2 linked regions of the Macaca fascicularis genome follow. The protein of the gene in region 1 purifies or fractionates together with the protein of each later gene. This does not show direct contact. Links are inferred from orthologs where the notes say so. Each region holds a gene or a part of one and is shown on either strand. Other genes may lie near its edges.

The links. The genes of interacting proteins can lie anywhere in the genome.
Region 2: the proteins of SNRPA (region 1) and SNRNP70 purify together in Homo sapiens (affinity purification with mass spectrometry; 4 studies listed by BioGRID and IntAct, counting the BioPlex papers as one, with this or other methods). This does not show direct contact. The link is inferred for Macaca fascicularis from reciprocal best matches to the Homo sapiens genes SNRPA and SNRNP70.

What each region holds. Positions count from the first base shown.
Region 1 is NC_088393.1:47,872,365-47,875,877, forward strand, and holds part of SNRPA (U1 small nuclear ribonucleoprotein A), read left to right. Parts: intron 1-2,380; coding exon 2,381-2,560; intron 2,561-3,513. UniProt on the Homo sapiens protein: Component of the spliceosomal U1 snRNP, which is essential for recognition of the pre-mRNA 5' splice-site and the subsequent assembly of the spliceosome. U1 snRNP is the first snRNP to interact with pre-mRNA.
Region 2 is NC_088393.1:57,061,362-57,065,543, reverse strand, and holds the start of SNRNP70 (U1 small nuclear ribonucleoprotein 70 kDa), read right to left. Parts: upstream 2,804-4,182; 5' UTR 2,610-2,803; exon of another isoform or gene 2,405-2,609; intron 1,851-2,404; 5' UTR 1,841-1,850; coding exon 1,694-1,840; intron 1-1,693. UniProt on the Homo sapiens protein: Component of the spliceosomal U1 snRNP, which is essential for recognition of the pre-mRNA 5' splice-site and the subsequent assembly of the spliceosome. SNRNP70 binds to the loop I region of U1-snRNA.

The sequences.
Region 1 (3,513 bases):
CTCCTTTAAAAATTTTTTTGGCGGAGTGCGGTGGCTCATGCCTGTAATCCCAGCACTTTCGGAGGCCGAGGCAGGCAGTTTACCTGAGCTCAGGAGTTTGCGACTAGCCTGGGCAACACTGTGAAACCCCGTCTACTAAAATACAAAAATTAGCTGGGCGTGGCAGCATGCGCCTGTAGTCCCAGCTACTCGGGAGGCTGAGGAAGGAGAATTGCTTGAACCTGGGAGGCAGAGGTTGCAGTGAGCCGAGATCCTGCCACTGCTCTCCAGCCTGGGTGACAGAGTGAGACTGTCTCAAAATACGTATATATATGTATATTTGGCTGGACATGGTGGCTCATGCCTGTAATCCCAGCACTTTGGGAGGCTGAGGCCAGTGGATTACCTGAGGTCAGGAGTTCGAGACCAGCCTGGCCAACATGGCGAAACCCTGTCTCTACAAAAATACAAAAATCAGCTGGGCATGATGGCTGGCACCTGTAATCCCAGCTACTTGGGAGGCTGAGGCAGGAGAATTGCTTGAACCCGAGAGGCGGAGGTTGCAGTGAGCCAATATCGCACCACTGCACTCCAGCCTGGGTGACAGAGCAGGACTATATCTCAAAAAATAAAAATAAATTTAAAGAAATCTTAAAAAAATTTTTTTTAATTTATTTTATTTATTTATTTATTTTTGATGAGATAGACGATGCTATCTCCCCTGGAAACGCTGATTTTTGTATTTTTAGTAGAGATAGGGTTTCGCCATGTTGCCCAGGCTGGTCTCGAACTCCTGAGCTCCAGTGATCTGCCGGCCTCAACCTCCCAAAGTGCTAGGATTACAGGCGTGAGCTACTGTGCCACACTAAGAATGTTTAACATACCTTCCCCTACTGAATAAGCACCGTGAAAGAGGGGTTTTTGTCTATTTTTTTCATTGCTTTATTCCCAGAGCCTCGAATTGTGCCTGGCATCTGGCAGGTTCTTCTTTTTTTTTTTTTTTTTGAGACAGAGTCTTGCTCTGTCGCCCAGGCTGGAGCGCAGTGGCCGGATCTCGGCTCACTGCAAGCTCCGCCTCCCGGGTTTATGCCATTCTCCTGCCTCAGCCTCCCGAGTAGCTGGGACTACAGGCGCCCGCCACCTCGCCCGGCTAGTTTTTTTTTTTTTTTTTTTTTGTATTTTTTAGTAGAGACGGGGTTTCACTGTGTTAGCCAGGATGGTCTCGATCTCCTGACCTCGTGATCCGCCCGTCTCGGCCTCCCAAAGTGCTGGGATTACAGGCTTGAGCCACCGCGCCCGGCCTGGCAGGTTCTTCTTAAACAGCTAAGTGAATGAGATTGAACCTGGAAGACTGAGGTGTATTCTTGTGTGATAGGAAATCCCCGTGCACTGCACTCCTCTCCTAGCATTGTCTCCTCGGGCTTTTGGCCTGACGTTTATTGCTGTTCCAGCTTCCCTTGAAAATACCAACAGCCTTTCTACTGAACACTTACTTACTGTGTGTCAGGTACTGTTCCAAGCACTTTAACTCATTTAGTCCTCATAACAGTCCTTTGAAGTGGGAGGTATCATAATCCCCGTTTTTCAGACAAGGAGGTTAAGGCCAAGATATTTATATTTCTGTGTTTCTCAGTAAGCTCCTGATAAGGTCTGATTTTTTTGTTTTTTGTTTTTGTTTTGTTTTGTTTTTTGAGACAGTGACTTGCTCTGTCGCCTGGGCTGGAGTGCACAGGCGCGATCTCAGCTCACTGCAACCTTCGCCTCCCGGGTTCAAGCGATTCTCCTGCCTCCTGCCTCCTGCCTCAGCCTCTTGAGTAGCTGGGACTACAGGTGCATGCCACCATGCCCAGCTAATTTTTGTATTTTTGGTACAAATGGGGTTTCCCGGCCAGGCGCGGTGGCTAGTGCCTGTAATCCCAGCACTTTGGGAGGCTGAGGCGGATGGATCATGAGGTCCGGAGTTCGAGACCAGCCTGGCCAAGATGGTGAAACCCTGTCTCTACTAACAATACAAAAATTAGCCGGGCATGGTGGTGGGCGCCTGTAATCCCAGCTAGTAGTGAGACTGAGGCAGAATTGTTTGAACCTGGGAGGTGGAGGTTGCAGTGAACTGAGATCTCATCACTGCACTTTAGCCTGGGTGACAGAGCAAGACAATGTCTCAAAAAAAGAAAGAAAGAAAAAGAGAGAGAGACAGAGACAAAGAAATGGGGTTTCGCTGCAATGGCCAAACTGGTCTCCACCTCCTGACCTCAAGTGACCTACTCCCTTTAGTCTCCCAAAGGGCTGGGATTACAGGCATGAGCCACAACACCTGGCCCCGGTAAAGGTCCAGTTTTGAATCTTGGCAATTGGGCTCTGAATCCACGCTCTTAACCCGTTCTGCTCTCTGTTTTGGTAGCGTATCCAGTACGCCAAGACTGACTCAGATATCATTGCCAAGATGAAAGGCACCTTCGTGGAGCGGGACCGCAAGCGGGAGAAGAGGAAGCCCAAGAGCCAGGAGACCCCAGCCACCAAGAAGGCTGTGCAAGGCGGGGGAGCTGCCCCTGTGGTGGGGGCTGTCCAGGGGCCTGTCCCGGTAAGCCAGGCCCTGGAGACCAGCCCTCCCACTGCCAAGCCTTCCTCAGCCACATGGACTGGCTTTGGGACAGGGTGGGGAGAGTTCTCCACTTGGGGCTTCAGACCCCCTCCTTTCTGTTTCCTTATAGAGATGTGTGTCTCTCTTTTGGGGTGTTGAGCACCTAGATGATGCTATATCCTCTTGAAACGCTTGTTTCCTCCTTGTGAATGTTTCTCAAGGTCTTTCTTCATGGCTGTGACTTGGTTTCGCTCTCTCCATGGCCTTGATTTTGTCGCCTGTGTCTTGTAACTCATTGTGCATGTAGAAAGTCCAAGTGTCTACTAAGCAACTGTTAGGATTAATAAGTGAACTTCATTTAGAAAGGTTGCTGGATATAAGGGCAATATGGAAAAAATTAGTTTTATTATTTATTAATATTATTTTTGAGACATGGTCTCACTGTCACCCAGGTTGGAGTGCAGTGGTGCCATCACAGCTCACTGCAACCTCTGCCTCAGCCTCCCTAGCAGCTGGAGCTGCCGGTGCGTGCCACCCCACCCAGCTCACTTTTGCATTTTTTGTAGAGACGGGGCTTAGCTGTATCATCCAGGCTAATCTCAAACTCACTGTCTCAGCCTCCCAAAGTGCCAGGATTACATGCATGAGTCACCATGGCCGACCCCCAGTTTTATTTTTATATGCCAGTAACAGACAAGTAGACTTCACATTGAGAAGTAGCACTGAGGGGTAAATCCAACAAAAGGTTTGCAGAATGACTACACTGAAATCACAGAACGTAGCTGGGAGAAATCAGAGACTCAGCAATGGATAGAAGGACTCAGTATTGTCAAGAGGTCAGTTCCATCCAAATTAATGAATATTCAACGTGATTGCAGTCAAAATTCCAACAGGTATTTTGGTAAACAGTGGACACTGATTGGCTCTTTGTAAATGTGTGGAAAGACAAGGCT
Region 2 (4,182 bases), about 9.2 Mb from region 1:
AAAAAAAAAAAAAAAAAAAAAAAAAAATTAAAAAAAAAATAAATAACTAGTAACTGAGACCAGGCACGGTGGCTCACGCCTGTAATCCCAGCACTTTGGGAGGCCAAGGTGGGCGGATCACGAAGTCAGGAGATCCAGACCATCCTGGCTAACACGGTGAAACCCCGTTTCTACTAAAAATACAAAAAATTAGCCGGGCGTGGTGGCAGGCACCTGTAGTCCCAGCTACTCCGGAGGCTGAGGCAGGAGAATGGCGTGAACCCAGGAGGCGGAGCTTGCAGTGAGCTGAGATCGCACCACTGCACTCTAGCCTGGGCGACAGAGCAAGACTCCCTCTCAAATAAATAAATAAATAAATAGAAACTGGCACATGACCTGCATCATCAAAGGGCACCTACCACCGCCTGTGCCCATTAAGTTAATTTAACTGGCCAGTAACACTTCTCAAATGCGGGTTCACCAAGGGTGGCAAATCCCACTGAAGATACACCTTTCTGTTATCTATGAACTTCTGCTGTGCAACTCCCTCGCCTCCAGCTGCCCTTCCCTACGCAATGCCAGAATGTTCTTGTAACTTCTGGCTATGTGCCAGTTTTTCTCAGGTGTGCTCTGATGCACCTAGGAGAAGACCTTTGTCATCCCATTTCACAAATAAAAACACAGAGGTCCAGGAGCCTAAGTCATTCATTCCTATTTACCCCGAAGGTGCAGAGCTAAGATCCCCATCTGCAGTTTTAAGTCCTCCAATACTCAATACTGGGTGCTAAGTCTTTATGAACATCATCTTATTAACAATAAAAACAGTAAACAAAGTAACAAAGGCTGACACGTGCTGACTGGTTGGTGCCAAGCCCCTGATATACACTTTGCCATTTAATTCTCCAGCATTATGAGGGTGCTACCACTATCCCCTTGCTAAAGATAAAGAAACCAATGCATGAAGAGGATACAACATTTGCCCAAAGTCAGAGCTGATAAATGGTGCGGGTTAAGTGCCAATCTTCAACCACTACTCACTGAATTTTCACAAAAATTCTACAAAAGGGGTACTATCAAACCCTACTTTTTTTTTGAGACAGTCTTCTTCTGTTGCCCAGGCTGGAGTGCAGTGGCACGATCTCAGCTCATTGCAACCTCCACCTCCTGGGTTCAAGTGATTCTCGTGCCTCAGCCTCCCAAGGAGCTGGAATTACAGGCATCATCATGCCCGGCTAATTTTTGTTATTTTTAGTAGAGACGGGGTTTCACCATGTTGGTCAGGCTGGTCTTGAACTCTTCACCTCAGGTGATCCACCTGCCTCAGCCTCCCAAAGTACTGGGATTACACGCGTGAGCCACCGCACTGGGCCACAACCCCACTTTAAAAAAAATTTTTTTTTTTTTGAGAGACAAAGTCCTGCTCTGTCACCCAGGCCGGAGTATAGCGGCACAATCACAGAGCACTTCAGTCCCCAACTCCTGGGCTCAAGCAATCCTCCCATCTCAGCCTCCTGAGTAGCTAGAACTACTGCTGCACTCGACCACACCCGGCACCCGGCTGCAACCCCATTTAAAACAGCGAAACTGAGGATCACAAAGATTAAGCCCCTCGCTTAAATCACACAGCTAGCAAAATAGTCAGAGGCTGGACTCGCAAATCCAACCCCTTGCTCCCCAGAACCCAAACCATTCCTGGCCTGCTCAGTGAACTCACCTCAAACTCTCGAATGTACGGCGCAATGCCACAGTAAGGTTGATTGTGGTGTTTTTCATGTGGCAGTTTCTCCAGGGGTGGCAGGTATGGGATAGGGTCACGGGGGGCAAAGAGGGCCAGAAGGTTGGGCGGCAGGAACTGGGTCATCTTGCCAAGTCTGAGAGCAGAAGCAGGACAGCCTTAGGTTAGATCGGGTCTGCAGAGAAAGCCCCTATTACTCCTTGACTCTCAAAGTAAGAAAGAAAGGAGAAAAGTCTCGGAATTAAAACAGGCTTTGTAACGGCAGAGAACGGTCCTGTGTTACGGAGAAAAGGGTAAAAGTCTTGTTGGAGGTGGAGGTGAAAGGCCGGTAAAAGACACAAAAATAAAGGCTGAAAAAGGGTTCCTGAGTAGTGAAGTCTCAGAGTCCTGAGACACGAGCTGTGGGGCGGAGAGGTTGCCTGGGAATTTCTGGGGGAATCAAAGACCCGAGGAGGGAGGCCCAGGGCAGTTGTGGCTGCTCGTCCCGTACCGTGGACAGCAAATTACTAGACGCAGTTTGCAAGGGCCTGGGGGTCGGAAGTCTCCGAGCAAAGAAAGAGAAACATAAGGAGCGAAGCCCCAAAACCAAGCGATTGTGGGTAACAGATCTGGGCCCCGCAAAGGCGAAAGGAATTATGGGTAAGGGTCCAGGACAACATAGAAAAACGAAAAAGAAAAAAGGCTACACACCGCAAGGGCCTGTGGGTAGGGAACCGCGAGGGCGATGTGGGGACCGGGCGTGGGTGCCCAGAGAACTCGGGGTCCGGGAAAGGGATGCAAAAGTGACCTGTGGCGAGGACGCGGGAAGGGGGCCTGGCCGCGGGGAAGAGGCCCGGGCCCACCGCTGGGGCTTCTGGGTAGCGGCCCCGCTCCCCGTCGGGCCACTCAGTCACACTCACTCGCCGCGCAGCGCCCTCCTAGCTCTGGTGTCTGTCCGGAGGCTCGCGGCGGCTGCGGCGGCCCCTCAGCAACAACAGCTCCTGCTTGGGCTTCCACTCTGGGGGCGTCCGCGTCCGTCTGATTCCGTCGCCCGCGCAGCGAGCGCACCAGGCCGCTGCTCAGGAACCCGCGCGGCCTCGGCTAGCGACTGGAGCAGGGGGTGGGTCCCGGCCGCAAATCCCTCCGCCGTCTGCACTGCGCACGCGCCGCGCGAGGCCAAGCTCAACCCACACGCTAGGACCCGGCGCCGCCGCGGCAACAGCGCACGCGCGAGGTCACCACCCCGCCTTCGGGCACCTTGAGTATTTCAACCGCCGGGAGCTGGCGTCTGCACTGCGCGCGCGCGCTTAGCCCCAAGCCGCCCCTCCACCTCTCGCTTTCCGCTCCAAACCGCCTATGTCCGCGAGGCTCTCCCTGATGCTCCGCCCCTTTCCAATCACACTTCCCGGATCTTGCGCGCATGCGTTCTGCGTAGTGAACTATAATGTACCTCTCCGCCGACTAGCAAAGAGTCCCTAAGTGAATGGCCTGATTGCGTTGATGTTTAATCTAGTCAATCGATAACTGTTCATCGAGCATCTCGTGTGTGCTAGGCACTGTCTGGGCTTTGGGGCTACAGCACGTGATTAAAGCAAAGTCTTCTCCTGCTAGGGCTTACACTGTACTGGGAGAGACAATAAAAGCATTTAACTGAGTAAAGATAATTTGAGGCCGGGCGCGGTGGATCACGCATGTAATCCCAGAACTTTGGGAAGCTGAGGCGGTCGGATCACCTGAGGTCAGGAGTGCGAGACCAACCTGACCAACATGGTGAAAGCCCGTCTCTACTAAAAATACAAAAATTATCCGGGCGTGGCGGTGCGCGCCTGTAATCCCAGTTACTCGGGAGGCTGTGGCAGGAGAATCGCTTGAACTTGGGAGGCTGAGTTTGCAGTGAGCCGAGGTCGTGCCATTGCACTCCAGCCTGGGCGACAGAGCGACTCCGTCTCAAAAATAAATAAATATAAAAAATAAAAGATATTTTGAGATAGTGGCCAGCATAATGAAGAACGATGGAGCAGAATAAAGGGATGGGAAATGAGAGCGAGTCTATTTTGATAATGGAAGCCTCTTCTGAAGAGGCAACATTTGAACAAAAACCAGATAGAAGCGAGATCTGGAGGCGGGGGGGAGCGGGGGGTGGTGTTTAACAGTTTAAGTGCAAAGGTCCTGAGCGAGGACCAGATGGCAGAAATCTCAGGTTGTTAGCCATGAGATCAGAGAGCTGGCACTTAAGTTATTTGAAGCCCTGTTGTTAAGTATCTTAAGTTTTGTGGATAGATTCAATAGCCTGTTTAATAACTAAATTACTGCAAAATTCAATTGACTAATTTTATGTTTCAATAAAAAGGCCAAGTGCAGTGGCTCACACCTGTAATCCCAGCACTTTGGGAGGCCAAGGCGGGTGGATCACTTGAGGAGTTCGAGACCAGCCTGGCCAACATGGTGAAATCCCATCTCTACTAAAAATGCAAAAATTAGCTGAGAGT